2 linked regions of the Danio rerio genome follow. Each later gene encodes a partner of the first gene's protein in a complex. Links are inferred from orthologs where the notes say so. Each region holds a gene or a part of one and is shown on either strand. Other genes may lie near its edges. The genes, in order: xpo1b and si:dkey-7n6.2.

Region 1 (7,121 bases):
GCAACCCCAGTACGCTTAAAAAAGGGTCTTGCTTACATAAGGCAACCTTCCTGGTTCGAAAGAAAGAGCCAAAAACCAAATTGTGATTTTGTATGATGTGTGATAAGAGATCAGATCTTCCTCAAAGTATAGAAACCATGACCCACCAACTGGAGCAAGTTGGGTCTCTGCTTACTTTGGTGTTCATGTTTTGAGAGAACTCTAGAATGGTGTCGACTCGTGTCCACGCATCTGGGTGCTCCTTCAAATGAGTCAGCACCTCCTGGGCCATTCTTTGCTGAAACAAAAAAACATTCATCTTAACTTGTATAACACTATGGTGCAACAATATACTGGCTGAGTGTTAATGATGTCAGTGCATTCACTAATGTATATAGTAAATAAACAAACACTGCCATTTAAAAAGTGACATATATATATTTGTACAATTGTAAAAAGCTGCCAACTTTTTATATTATTTTTGAGTACAATTTATTTCTAAGATGCATTTTGAATTTAAACGAAAGAAGAATATTTTCAGTGGTAACAGAATGTCACAGTAAGGTTCCTCATGTAAAAATACATAATTTCTGCAAACCCTAAGGATTTTAAATAACTAATAAAAATAAATTAATTCAATTTAATCCAATTAAACAAAATTTTTCATTTGTTTGTTGTATTGTTAAGCTACACAAAAGTAAACTCAAATTTAATGTTGTAAATGAATCTGTTATATATATATATATATATATATATATATATATATATATATATATATATATATATATATATATATATATATATATATATATATATAAAACATACTGTCACTCAACAGATAGAGAACAATGCAGAATACATCAGTGAGCAAATCAATGCAAAGGCAGGTGCAGATTTACTACCGTTTTCTGCATGAACTAGGCCTGAACGATTTGTCCTAAAACCTAAATCTCGATTAATTAAACATTTTAACTCGATTACGATTAATGAAAGATTGTTTAATTTATTTGTTTTATGTTTTTGCCCTCATAGTTCACTGACAAGTTTTGTACAGTAAATGTGCTCACATATTACAAGTGAGAGATTTTTGATTGTGCATTACTTGATTAAAATTAAAGGAAACACACACTATCTACTGTCTATGATTATTTATTGAACATCAATATTGAACAACTGAGATAAAGACAAACAGTGCCTAAAACGCGGCTCTCCACGCCGCGCACCCACGTCACCTCTACCAAACTGACCAATCACAAAGCTTGTGCAACGTGTCGTTGTGACGCGCAATTACATTTTTTTGAGAAGTGTGCAGGTATGTGAACGCTTTGCTGGACTGTATGTGCCCTTGGCAGAAGTATAAAATGGAATATAATAGGATAAATTGGCCTTGAACAAGCGGGGTCACGTAACTCAACACATGGTAGGGAAAGTAATTGAAAAAATTTACTTGGAAAAATTTGATCAATTACAGGTTCTAAATGTCGATTTCGATTACTTTTCGATTGAGCTCCTTTGTGTTATAAATGGAATTATGCTTTCATTGTAATTTGTTTATCTTAAAATGTTTTGAAAAATCATGCATAAGTTCATATGATTAAATTCAAGATATATTAATAAATATTTATTTTTTTAAATAAATCAGGAAATTATCCACTGCCATTTTGTAATACATTTTATTAATCTTAGGTCCAAAATCCATAATTAAGTTGGCCCATAGTTATGTTTGGCCCTTCATTAGAAAAGGTTAGGGCGTTCCTGACCTAGATGATCTCACCCAACTACATTGAATAGGTGTCTAGGAATCTATCAATCAATATATCAATCGAAATACATCATTCAACATCAACACAAAATTTAAATGAATTGCTTTATATATTTTTAAATGCATTTGGATCATATAATTGTAGTTATTTTCTTGTTAAACTTATCAAGTACACAGTTTTGTACCTTTGTTTTCATCAAGTTTTCATAATCATCTTCGCTAGTAATATTGTAAATTACCTCAAAGTAGCTTGGTTCCATTAACGAGTTACATGATGTTTTATTTTAAAATACACTGCTGGTAAAGTGCAGACAGGGTTATATTTATCCAGTCTTTTGTCAAATGATCACCAAATTAATGCTTATTTCAGGACTCTTAGAATAATACTTTCCCTTTCAATCCATTTATTGTTATTTGTATTGACTATTTTATTATTTGATGTGCACTGGATAATTATCAGCTAATGTTATGTTATATCTTCAACACATACATCTGGTGCTGTATTTACCAATTTGTAAAATGATCTTACTTACCTGTGGCCCAACTCCATGGTACAGGCAGTTGACCACATTATCCAGCAGGTTGATATCCAATTTCTGGTTAAAGTCCAGCAGCTGTCTGGCTGCGTGGTCGGCTAACATTGTCATAATTGCTGGCATAGAGCTCTGTAGGGGACAGGGAGGAAACATCTAGCAGGGGCAAAGTCATGTCAAATGAACATATGGGTACAAAAATCCAAACAGCTGACCATTACGCCCCTCCCTCAACCAAACTCGGGATCACCCAAAAAGCCTTATATGTTCTAGCCTGTCAACACAGTAGTGCCTAATGGAGGGTTTAATCCTTAATAACAATAGGATAGGTTGGTGGCGTGATAAAGGTAACATGTTTGCAGCTTGGATATCCTGATGTGTGGAGAAACAAGAGACACTCACTGGGCTCATGATCATCACACCAGCCATTATTCTCTGAATGAGACCACGTGCTAGGCAGCCCTTTCGCTGACGACATTGTTTACATATAACAGAGGCGTAGCGTTACCGAGCGCTCTGCGTTAGTACACACTTTCTTTCTACTTTCATAAGACCACAACCACAAGACCTAATGCTGACTCGTAGTAGACTGAAGGACACTTGAATGGCCATTGCTCAAGCTAATTCAATTTGTACCCCGAAGCCAAACTGTTGCGTAACGAGGTAAGCATTACGGCCAAGAACCAAAAGAAGTTTGGCATCGGAGGAAATTTCAAGAATTTATTTAGACACGACAGTCAAGCTTTATGAGACCACGGGTCTCGCAGGCATAAACAAAGTGATGTGGTGTGCCATAACTAATCGTCAGTACTGCGCAACCTGTTGATTTACCCTCCTTTTCCACACATCACCTTATTTCATTCAGTAAGCTGTGACCACAATAGGATCTGTAACCCAACATAGAGCTACTAAGCATGCACACGTTTTCAAAACACAACTGGGTTGGACTAAGATAATGCCGCTTATGATGTTCTAGTTGTGTTGATATAGACTAGAACCCCTAATAATGCGTCGCTGTACATGACAGCAACTGCGTATGCATACAATCGTACAAAAGCGCTTGAATGGACGCTTTAGCGCGCGACTGACGTTAAAACGTCCAAGCAAACACCTCTTCCGTGAGAAAACACTGACGTTTCTGACGGACTACACCCGTTTTTGGATGACTTCTACGGGGGTGACTTTGCAAGGATCTCCCTCGCTGACTCTGGAGCAACCCCTCCCACCAACAGCATGCTCTGCACCCTACACCTGAAAGCTCTGCAGGCTTCACCAGCAGTAAACCAGGTAAGTAACACACTGTGGGTGCGTTATACGCGTTTAAATAACTAATGCTTTGGCTCTGGAACAGTCCGGAATGCGGTTTACAGTTGAATGACGCTCGCTAAACCCAAACAAGCGTGCTGCTGAAGTCTAACGTTAGCTCGTGATCGGAAGCGATGCAGTTGTTATTGTTATGATGTTACGTGAGATTAAAACTATTTTTCAAACGAACAAACCCCAAATATAACGTTACCATTTAGTCCAGCGTGACACCAGGAGCCATCACGCCACACACCCGCAACATCCAACAAACACTCAGCAGCACAACCAGCTCACTTTCTTTCGACTTCAACCTCCATACGTGCAATTTCTATTCATTTCAACACAATCTCACAGCATCATCATTCTCCAAACCAACCCAAGCACTCTAACTAGAAGTTTGCACCCCAAATTTACCTACCTAAAGTCCAAGCCTTTGAGAGAAAGAAGGTGGGCTTGTCTGCCAGAGTTGCTAAAATAATGTTTATTTGATCCAGTATCGCTGGTGCCTGTTTGTACACGCTTTCTGGAAAAAAAGCTTTAGGATGAGCCGTTGGCTGGTCAGCCACACTATTCCTCTGTGAAGACTACACGAGCTAGTAGCTTGATTTAAGGACCACTAGGATGTGAATTCCGCACCATCAATCACGGCGAGTTCAGTATTTTCTTACTCCGGTTCATTTTACGAAACAAAGTTAACCTTATTTCAGAAATGTGCTCTATACTTAAGTATATTTTGCACCAGGGCGGTATTAGAGTCTGAGCCTGTGCGCCTCTTCTTCTCACAAGCAACAAACTCGTAACCGGTTGAAACCGGTTCAGACTGGGAGATTCCATCTCGGTTTAGTTTTCAGCCGATGGCGCCGCGAAAAGTTTGGATTAACGTCACGCCCATGGCGGCCTGCTAATGGCCGTTGCGTTGCTAAGCACGTCCTCGCTCACACACCATTGGACGGCGAGCACGTCAATCAATCTATACTCTTTCTAGCGCCCACGCGACCGCTCCGCCCGTTTGGAGAAAAAGAAGGCAAACTGCGTGCAGAATGGACCTGTAATTCCTGATATTATTGCTCTCGTGTGTTTTGTTACTATTGTAAGGAAAAGCTAGTTTTAGCGTTAATAGTAACGTGTTTTGCACGACTCCGTCGATAAACATTCGCGTTTATATCCGCCGCGAGCTTTAATTTGATATTCCCCAGCAGTGCGCGTCTGATAATTGCATACATGCTCGGGAAAATGAATTTCAGGGTGGACTGAAGGAGATCGAGGGCATCGAGTCCGTGAGGCGGATGTTGGAGCTTGTACTTGTGCTGATTGTAAGCTGGTAATTTTCCACGAGCCACGAAGGGGAGTGGTTGTTCAGAGTCAGGGTATGAGACGCATGGCATGGGTCAGAGCTTGATACAATTGGCTTGTGATGGTCTCCATAAACTTAACTACCGCGAAATTGACTCCGGTATGGTTGTGATGGATGATAAACGCATCGAATCGCTCAAAAACATCATTATAAACAATCGGCGTGCTGTTTCATACAGACGTCAAACGCTCGCATGTTCACCCCCTCTTCGCTAGTCACGTGACGCAACGCCACTTAAACGTCAGTTGATGGAAAAATACTGGATTTTGTGTGCGCAAACTAATGTAGTGCCTGAACTGAACAAAGAATGAGAACAAGAATACATTGTCCTCTAGTCGAGCTGTCATTTAGGCTTAAATAAAACTTCGTTCCACAAGGTCACAGTGTCGAAGTCTTTCCGTTTAGTCCAGCATGTGGTCAGTATTACACACCTTCTGAAATGGCTAACTAAACAAGCAGTGTTACTGCACTTTAGGAATAGTAATTTTGTAAATGATATGCCCAACAACTGATCTCCCTTTTAGTAGAGGCCAGCATTTATTCCAGTGTTAGCTGGTGTTTAATTCAGCATTGCTGTTTTGTGCATTTAAATTGCTCCAGGTGTGATTTGATAATCAGCTGTTGTGTGAATCAGATCTATATTCATTACCTTTTGTTGTGTTTTATTATATGCAGGTCACATGCCGATGTAAACTTTGGAAGAAGAGATCAGTATGATGTGGCTTGAATGAATGTTTGTTTGTGAATCGTGTCTCAGTGTCTAGAAGTTTCTATGATATAGTTACTCATGTTTTCCAGGAATCAGAGTCAACTACTTTGTAACCCCTGTTCCAGTTTCTTTCTTTACAGCAGGTTTCCTGAAGTAATTAATAGATAGAGAATGGGTGTGTTTGGATAACACAGAGTAATATGTTGTGTTCAGTTGTGTGTCTTGTATTTAGTTTGAATTAAAGTGACAGTTCACCTGAAAATTGAAGAAGAAATTCCTCGTTTAAAAAATGTTGGAATACTTTGGTGGTCAACGGCTGCTGGGTTTTCGACATTCTTCAAAATGTCTTCTTTTGTGTTGAGGGTAATTATGAGAGAATTGTTTTTAAATTTTAGGGTGAACTATTTCTTTAAAACTCCAAAATTAAACACTAACTCTTTTAACGTTCACACATGGTGAATGTGCTCTTATTTTAGAAATGATAAGAAATCTCTTGTGTTTCTCAGGCTATGACTTCACTTTGTGTAAAAGAAAACTCACCATGCTTCATTTCTTTGTTGTCTCAGCTGTTTTGAATTATTTTGAGAAATACAATAAAGCATTGAAACTTCTCTGGAAGTCTGGTTTTGTTTATTGTGGGTTCCTGATCATGCATATGTACAAAGCATCAAAAGTATAACTGTGGCTGATGTGAAAACCTTGTATGCTTCCTATATTAAAGTGTGCCATTAATCAGCTCATTACAGAGGGTCTGAAAGTTAACAGGGTCAGGGGGCGAGTGAAAGAGGTCGTCCTGCCGAAGTGAGCTTAGGAGGGCTACACGTGCACTGTGGCACATACATGTGAATGAAATGGGCTGCTCTGTTTGGATTGGGCTGGATTGAGCCCGTTCCCACCGGTCCTACTAGTCCATTTACATGCATTATAATGACATCACCTGCTCCTCCCCTGTTTGACAGTTGTCATACTTGTGGTGTTTATGTACTGTCTAATAAACTGTTAATATTACCTTATTTATTGATTACATTTTTTTTAAATTGTTGTTTAGCAAATTGGTCACTATAGACAAACAATAAAACTAGACTGTAAAAATCCTGGTCGTCTTAAATTTTTAAGCTAAATGAAATTAACCTTATGAGTTCATTAAACTTGTTTTGTTGAACTGACTTAAAACAGCTTGTGCAACTTACACAATTAAGTTGGAACTTGAATAACTTAGTTTAATAAGTTATAATGAACTAAAAAAAAACACTATTATGACAAATTGATCATGTTTATTTTTTACAGTGTAGTTACTTGAAATAAAATAGAAATCATTTACTCACCCTTCCCTTGTTCAAAACCTATTTGATTTTCTTCCTTCTACACCAAAGAAGATATTTTGAAAAATGCTGGTTGCTGGTCCCCATTTACTTTAACAGGAATCTTTTTTCCTATTAAGGAGTTTGATGGGTGCCGGGCAGCAACCAGCATGTTTAC
Region 2 (6,979 bases), on another chromosome or scaffold:
GAATGAGACATAGGCTATGTGAGTAATTCCCATTCATTTATTTTCTTTTTGTTTTAGTCCCTTTATTAATCAGGGGTCCCCACAGCGGAATGAACCACCTGCTTATGCAGCATATATTTTACGCAGCGGATGCCCTTTCAGCCGCAACCCATCAATGGGAAGCACCCATACACTCTTATTCACACACATACACTACGGACAATTTAGCTTTCCCAATTCACCCGCATGTCTTTGGACTTGTAGGGGAAACCGGAGCACCCACAGGAAACCCCATGTAAACACGGACAGAACATGCAAACCCCACACAGAAATGCCAACTGACCCAGCTTAGGCCTGAACCAGGGACCTTCTTGCTGTGAGGTGACAGCACTACACTGCGCCACCACGCCACCCTGAGTAATTCTCATTGAATAAAAATAATGAGATAAAAAGATTAAATACCCCACAGGCTAAAGACTGCATTATAGGTGAATTGAATTGAAAGCTAAATTGTCCGTAGAGTATGTGTGTGAATGAGTATATGGATGTTTCCCAGTACTGGGTTGCAGCTGGAAAGACATCCACTGTGTAAAACATAGGCTGAATAAGTTGGCGGTTCATTCTGCTATGGTGAGCTCTGAAATAGAGACTAAGCCGAAGGAAAATGAATAAATAAATATTGCTTTAAAAGCTCTGATAAAAAAGGGTCTTTAGCTAATAGTAGTTTTCCATTTCTACCAATTAATGAAGAGATTTGACAAACAAATGTATGCTTATTTATTGCTATTTGAGCAACTTATGGCTATTTTCTAGAAAGTAAGTTGGCAGTTCATTCTGCTGTGGCGACTTCTGATGATTTTTGCATCTGAAATAGCACATACTATTTAAAACAGAATGTGACGACAAGAAGAAAGCTGCTCATTCACACTCATACACACTCATACACTACGGACAATTTAGCTTACCCAATTCAACTATAGTGAATGTCTTTGGACAGTGGCCGAATCTGCAGTACCCGGAGGAAACCCATGCGTACTGGGAGAACATTCAAACTCCACAAAGAAACGCCAACTGACACAGCCGAGGTTGAACTTGCAACCATTTTGCTGTAAGGCAAACATGTTACTTACTGTGCCACCATGCAACCCTTTTTATTTGTTTATTCATTTATTTTTATTATACCATTTGAATCTTTAGATTCTATGCAAGTACATAGTTGGCAACTGCCTGAAATAACTAATTTTATGGTGGTGTTTTCCTACGTGCATTAAAAAAATGTATGTTTTTATCGCAAACTATCCATAATAAAACCCCAAACAATTTCTGCATCTCAAATCACATAGTATTTAAAACAGAATGTAACACAAGAAGAAGGCTGCATCTGAAATAGCACACTCTCTTGGGTAAGCACTTGTTTTAAATAAATAATTACTTTGCAACTGTTTTATAAAGTAATAATTTATGTAATTTGAATGTAATATGGATGTAGTCAGCTACATTGCCATGTTGTCACTGTTATTTATTTATTTATTTATTTACTTTTTTAAAATTAAATATTAGAGTATATGTAAGTATGTTGTGAATTTCCTGAATTAATTTGTAATGTGACTGTAGATAATATTTATTTTAAAGTACAAATTATAAAGCTCAATAAACCATAACTTTTTTCAAAACATAATTTTTAGTGTGTTCAAATTATTTATATATTATTTAATTAATTAATAACAAACATAGACAATCCAATTTTACACACACACACACACACAAAAACACAATGATAGTAACAATGATAATAACAGATCAGGTTAAAAATATAAACACACATAAAAAAATAAAAAATAAAATAAAGAGAGAAACAAAAGCAAAGAAAAGTAAAAGAAAAAAATAACGATACATTCATACCCTGTTAATTTTTCTAAAATAATTGTCAAAATAATCTAAGAATCTATCACTTTTCTTGTTATTAACCAGTCTAAGAGATTTAATAAAAACATCAATTTAAATTAAAAAATGTGAAAAAGAAGGCTGCGAATTGAATAATTTTTGTTTGTGATAATACTTTCCATACAAAATAAAAAAGGTAATAATGTAGTTCTCTGATAAATCAGTTTTACTTTTATAGTAACAAATAATATCTTGTATAGTTTAAAGGGTCTGGAAAAAGCAATAATTACCTATATGGAGATATAAGCTATTCCAAATGCTTTTTGTGTTTTCACATTGAAAAAAAAAATGTGAATCAGCGTTTCGTCTTCAGTTTTACAAAATGTGCATGAACTATCAACCTCCAAATACTTTGCCAAAGTACTATTCACTAGATATATTTTATGAAGAATTTTATAGTGTGTTAAAAGTTGTGCCAAATACAGGAAATACGTCATGCAAGTAGACAAGTGCGAGTGTGTGCAGAGGCAGAGCCCTTACTGAGCGAATCAGTGAACAAGTTCAAAAGATTCGAGTCACTGAAATGAATCAAACTCCTCGGCATTACTGGGCATAAGCAGATAGAATGGTTTTGGATAATCCTCGCATATCAGCATCGCCCGGTTACGCGCATACGTCATCTCTATCTTCTCTTGCAGACTCATGGACTGAAGCAGCAGCAGCACCGCCACCGTCGCATCCAACTGAAGTAAACCGGAGCGACAAAACTGTACAGCAGTGACAATTATAGGAAAAACGTCCAGCCTAAAACAGGTACAATTTGCGGACTCGTTCGGCTTTCTGGGTATATCATTTTAGACGGTCGCCCGCCTGTTTCATTAGCTTCTGTGTTACCTTGTCGGTTTTATATAACCGTTTCATTGATATGAGCTTAAACGCCGTGTGCTGGACTGTAAATGTAAGAATTTCTCCACTGGGATGGCCACTTGTAGCTGTCATGTCTAGATATGTCATGTGGGTATGATATGCTAGGCTATGTGTTTTGATATGATGTTATAAATCGAGTACACGTGACATCAAGGACGACACCGGGTAGCCGCAGTACATTTATGTTTTATTCATTTTTACGTGATATAAACTATTAAATTTATGCTCTAGTTTACAGTTTTTGGTCATGGTTGTGTGGAATAAACGTGCAGAACTTGAGTTAAATTAAGGCAAACCTAGCTTTTTTGTTCAATATCATTGATGTTGTTTCAGTTTGCCTTTATTGTGAGGATGATGAATAGATTTGACTTGTGGAAATCAATGTTGCAGTAAAAAAAAATCTATGATTTTATATAAGAGCATTTAGTCAGTGCAGCAATGTTTTTATAGCAATCATATTTGATAGATTTTTTAAAAGGTTTACAATTGAGCCCCCAAAAATTTAATGTATTCTGTTTTTTTCCACCATCCTTCAAACTAGTTTCATTCTTTTGTCAGCAAGAACTTTTTAAATGTTTAAAATATAATACAATTTAATATGATGACTAATTATTCTTTAAAGTTGAGGTTAGAGTAAATGTTTTATTTTTACATCAATACAGTATATATTGTGCTGAATGATAATGGAAAGTTGTTTCGCCCATGTATTGCTATTACATTTTGACAAGTTATTGAAACATTGAAGTAGACACTTTATTTGCATTTGCTTTGCATTTGGATTCAAATTTGCTTATGTTAAAATTCAGTGTTCGCTGAGCAACAAAATATGTATTGCACTCGTATATCTGTATTACAGACAGAAAAGCCCTAAATTTGCTAGAATAAAATTCAGTGTTCATTTGAAATAATATTAAATATTAATATTTTAATACATTACTTTTGCATGCAAGTAATTGGGATACCTACAGTTGAAGTCAGAATTATTAGCCCCCCTGCTTATTTTTTCTCCAATTTTTGTTTAACGGAGAGAAGATTTTTTTCAACACATTTCTAAATATAATCGTTTTAATAACTAGTTTCTAATAAATGATTTATTTGATCTTTGCCATAATGACAGTAAATAATATTTTATTGGATATTTTTTAACAAACGTGCTTTTTTACAGCTTAAAGTGATATTTAAAGGCTTAACCAGGTTAACTAGGCAGGTTAGAGTAAATAGACAAATTATTGTATAATAATAGTTTGTTCTGTAGACTATCACACACACAAAAAAAGTTGACCTTAAAATGGGTTTTAAAAAATTAAAAACTGCTTTTATACTAGCCAAAGTAAAACAATTTAGAATTTCTCCAGAAGAAAAAAAAAACATTAGACATACTGTGAAAATTTCCTTGATCTTTTAAACATCATTTGAGAAATAATAATAAAAAAAATTATAATTTAAAGGGGGGCTAATAATTCTGACTTCAACTGCATATTATACAGAAAACAGGCACAGCTATCTCCACACCATTCAACAACTATCTTGTTCTTTGTTGTGTAAAAAGGTGTATGCTCTACAGTAAAAATGCTGAGTTATCTTCAACTTATTCAGCAAGAAGGTCGCTAGTTTTAGTCCCGGTTGGGCCAGGTGTAGAGTCTACACTCTGTGTAGAGTTGGCATGTTCTCCTCATGTTCATGTGGGTTTCCTCCAGGTTCTCCGGTTTCCCCCATAGACCAAAAACATGCAGTATAAGTGACCTGGATAAACCTCAATTGGCTGTAGTGTGTGAATGAGAGAGTGTTTGTGTGTTTTCCAGCACTGGGGCTTGTACTAAATTTAGTTGTATTTTTGTCTTTTTCATTATTTATTAAGTCTATGTGGTTTTAAATGTTTTTTATTTTATTTTGTGTTTTATTTTTTTGAGTGAAATTCAAGTAATTCAGTAATTCAAAAAAGCAGTATTTCCTATAGGCAACAACCTAAAATAAACTACATTTATTGTAAGTTAATTAGTTTTTCCTGCAATTTCAAAAATATGTATTTTTTTCATTCATTTATTCATTTTCTTTTCGGCCCAGTCCCTTTATTTATCTGGGGTTGCCAGAGCAGAATGAACCATCGACCTATCCAGCACACAGTATGTTTTACGCAGCGGATCCCCTTCCAGCCACAAGTAACCTAACACTGGGAAAAATCCATACACACTTCTTCTTCTGTACCGCATGTCTTTGGACTTGTGGGGGAAACGGGAGCACCTGGAGGAAACCCACACGAACACTGGGAGAACATGCAAACTCCACACAAGAATGCCAACTGACCCAGCCGAGGCTTAAACCAGTGACCTACTGTATTTGCAGTGAGGCTACGGCGCTACTCACTGTGCCGCTGCGTTGCCCTTTGTTTTTGCTCTGTTTAATTTAATTTAATAAAAAAAAAATACATTTTATAGTTTGTATTGCTTTTTGTGTTGGTTTGACATTTTAATACAGTATTAAAACTAAATAAAAATAATATGAGAAATATTTCTTTGGCAATAAAATTAAATATATTTTTTTGCTTTATAAATGTAGTTTATATTTAATTTCACTTAACTTTAAAAAGAATAAAAATAGTACATGTTTTGGTATAGCCACGTTACATAAAGTCATTTGGAAAAGAATTGAGCATTTTATGCGAAATCCAACACTATTTTTAAAAATTTCCCTCTTATTTTAGTACAGTGAATCAGCTCTGTAATGATGACCTCCTTTAGGGTGTTTCTCCACACAGTGGCATCATTTTAAAGGCAGAATGACTGTGCTGAGATGATAACATGAGCTAAATATAACCGTGAGCTCAGGGAAGACCGTCCTTACATCCCATCCCTGATAATTAGTTCAACAAAATTCGAGATAATCTTGCAGATTTGTGCCACATCTGTTTTGATATTTACATGGATTCCCAAATTGATAATAAATCACCAATATTTCATTATACTATTTGGTATAAAATTAATTTCTTTACAGTTCACTAGTTTGTGGTGTTTTCAGGTGAGCACGGTCACCTTCCAGGATATCCACGGGGTCTTATATGTCTTTAATCACAAAAGCTAAATTTTAGGTTTTAAAAAGTCCTAAATCTACTGAAATGTTGTGTTGTAGGTCTTAAATCTTTTTTGAAAAAGTTTTAATTTTCCTTTGTTCATGGATAGCTGGCCATTTACACCACCAACAATCCACCTCAATTAAACTTTTTTTTTTTTTTAAATAGCATTTATTTTTACTTTCCTTACAGTAACATTTGCTTAAAAAAAAGTTTTCTATTTATTTACTGCTAAGGATACTGACCTGACCTATTTTTTTAATTATTATTGTAGACTGAAGTAATTGACAGCTATGTTTTGTTCTATTCTTGGTAAGAGTTATAGAGTTTGTGAATAAATACATTTGAAAATGTAAAAAAAATCAAAGATTATTATTATTATTATTATTATTATTATTATTATTATTATTACTACTACTACTATGATTATTGTTGTTGTTGTTGTATTGTTAAATGTATAAAATTGTAATAATTTTTGATGGGGCAAGTGAAAATCTTTTCTATCTGGGATATTCAAATAACATTCTTAGCATCTAGCCCTTTCTTAGCATCTAGCATCTTAGCATCTAGATTGTGTTCATAATGGTCTTAAAATGTCTTAAAATCACTTAAATTTAACTTTGTGAAACCTGCAGAAACCCTGCCTTCAGCACGCAGTTAGTAAACTAAAAATGGTGGCATCCCGAAAAAGACTCGTACATTTATGACAGTTTTTCATTAAACTGTTGGTCAGTTTATTTATTTAATAATCCCATTTTGCCATGTAGCAATAAATCCATAATGAGATAAACAAATAGAGAAGTATTTCTGTTAAGGTAAAACAGATATTGCCAAAGTTTTCTTTGGGGGCATAATTTAAAGTTGCAATGTATCACAGAATATCTAAATATATTTAAAATTGCAATAACATTGTATAATGATTATGACACATATCAGGATAGCATTGTATAGTGGGGACTCTAAAATTAAAATTAATTCACATTTTATTTTCACACAACATAAAAAAGAATAGATTCAATTAGAAATGCATCACTTAGAAATGCATGAGATCGCAGATGTGAGACTGAATAAACAGTCTCTCATCCAAGCTTATCCTCTTATTGAGCTCAGATTATATGCCAC

What was found.
Region 2: the proteins of xpo1b (region 1) and si:dkey-7n6.2 are in contact, whole or in part, in an NMR structure (PDB 2L1L), measured with the Homo sapiens proteins. The link is inferred for Danio rerio from reciprocal best matches to the Homo sapiens genes XPO1 and PKIA. Residues at the interface, in NP_003391.1 of Homo sapiens: Val518, Lys522, Leu525, Cys528, Glu529, Lys534, Lys537, Ala538, Ala541, Ile544, Phe554, His558, Lys560, Phe561, Thr564, Lys568, Phe572, Glu575, Thr576, Val580; in NP_006814.1 of Homo sapiens: Asn36, Leu38, Ala39, Lys41, Leu42, Ala43, Gly44, Leu45, Asp46, Ile47, Asn48, Glu51.

Annotation. Positions count from the first base shown.
Region 1 is NC_133192.1:25,313,757-25,320,877, reverse strand, and holds the start of xpo1b (exportin-1), read right to left. Parts: upstream 4,382-7,121; 5' UTR 3,794-4,381; coding exon of another isoform or gene 3,791-3,793; 5' UTR 2,704-3,790; coding exon 2,677-2,703; intron 2,407-2,676; coding exon 2,275-2,406; intron 278-2,274; coding exon 176-277; intron 1-175. UniProt on the Homo sapiens protein: Mediates the nuclear export of cellular proteins (cargos) bearing a leucine-rich nuclear export signal (NES) and of RNAs.
Region 2 is NC_133199.1:26,673,584-26,680,562, forward strand, and holds the start of si:dkey-7n6.2 (cAMP-dependent protein kinase inhibitor alpha), read left to right. Parts: upstream 1-2,351; 5' UTR 2,352-2,676; intron 2,677-4,854; exon of another isoform or gene 4,855-6,183; intron 6,184-6,225; exon of another isoform or gene 6,226-6,979. UniProt on the Homo sapiens protein: Extremely potent competitive inhibitor of cAMP-dependent protein kinase activity, this protein interacts with the catalytic subunit of the enzyme after the cAMP-induced dissociation of its regulatory chains.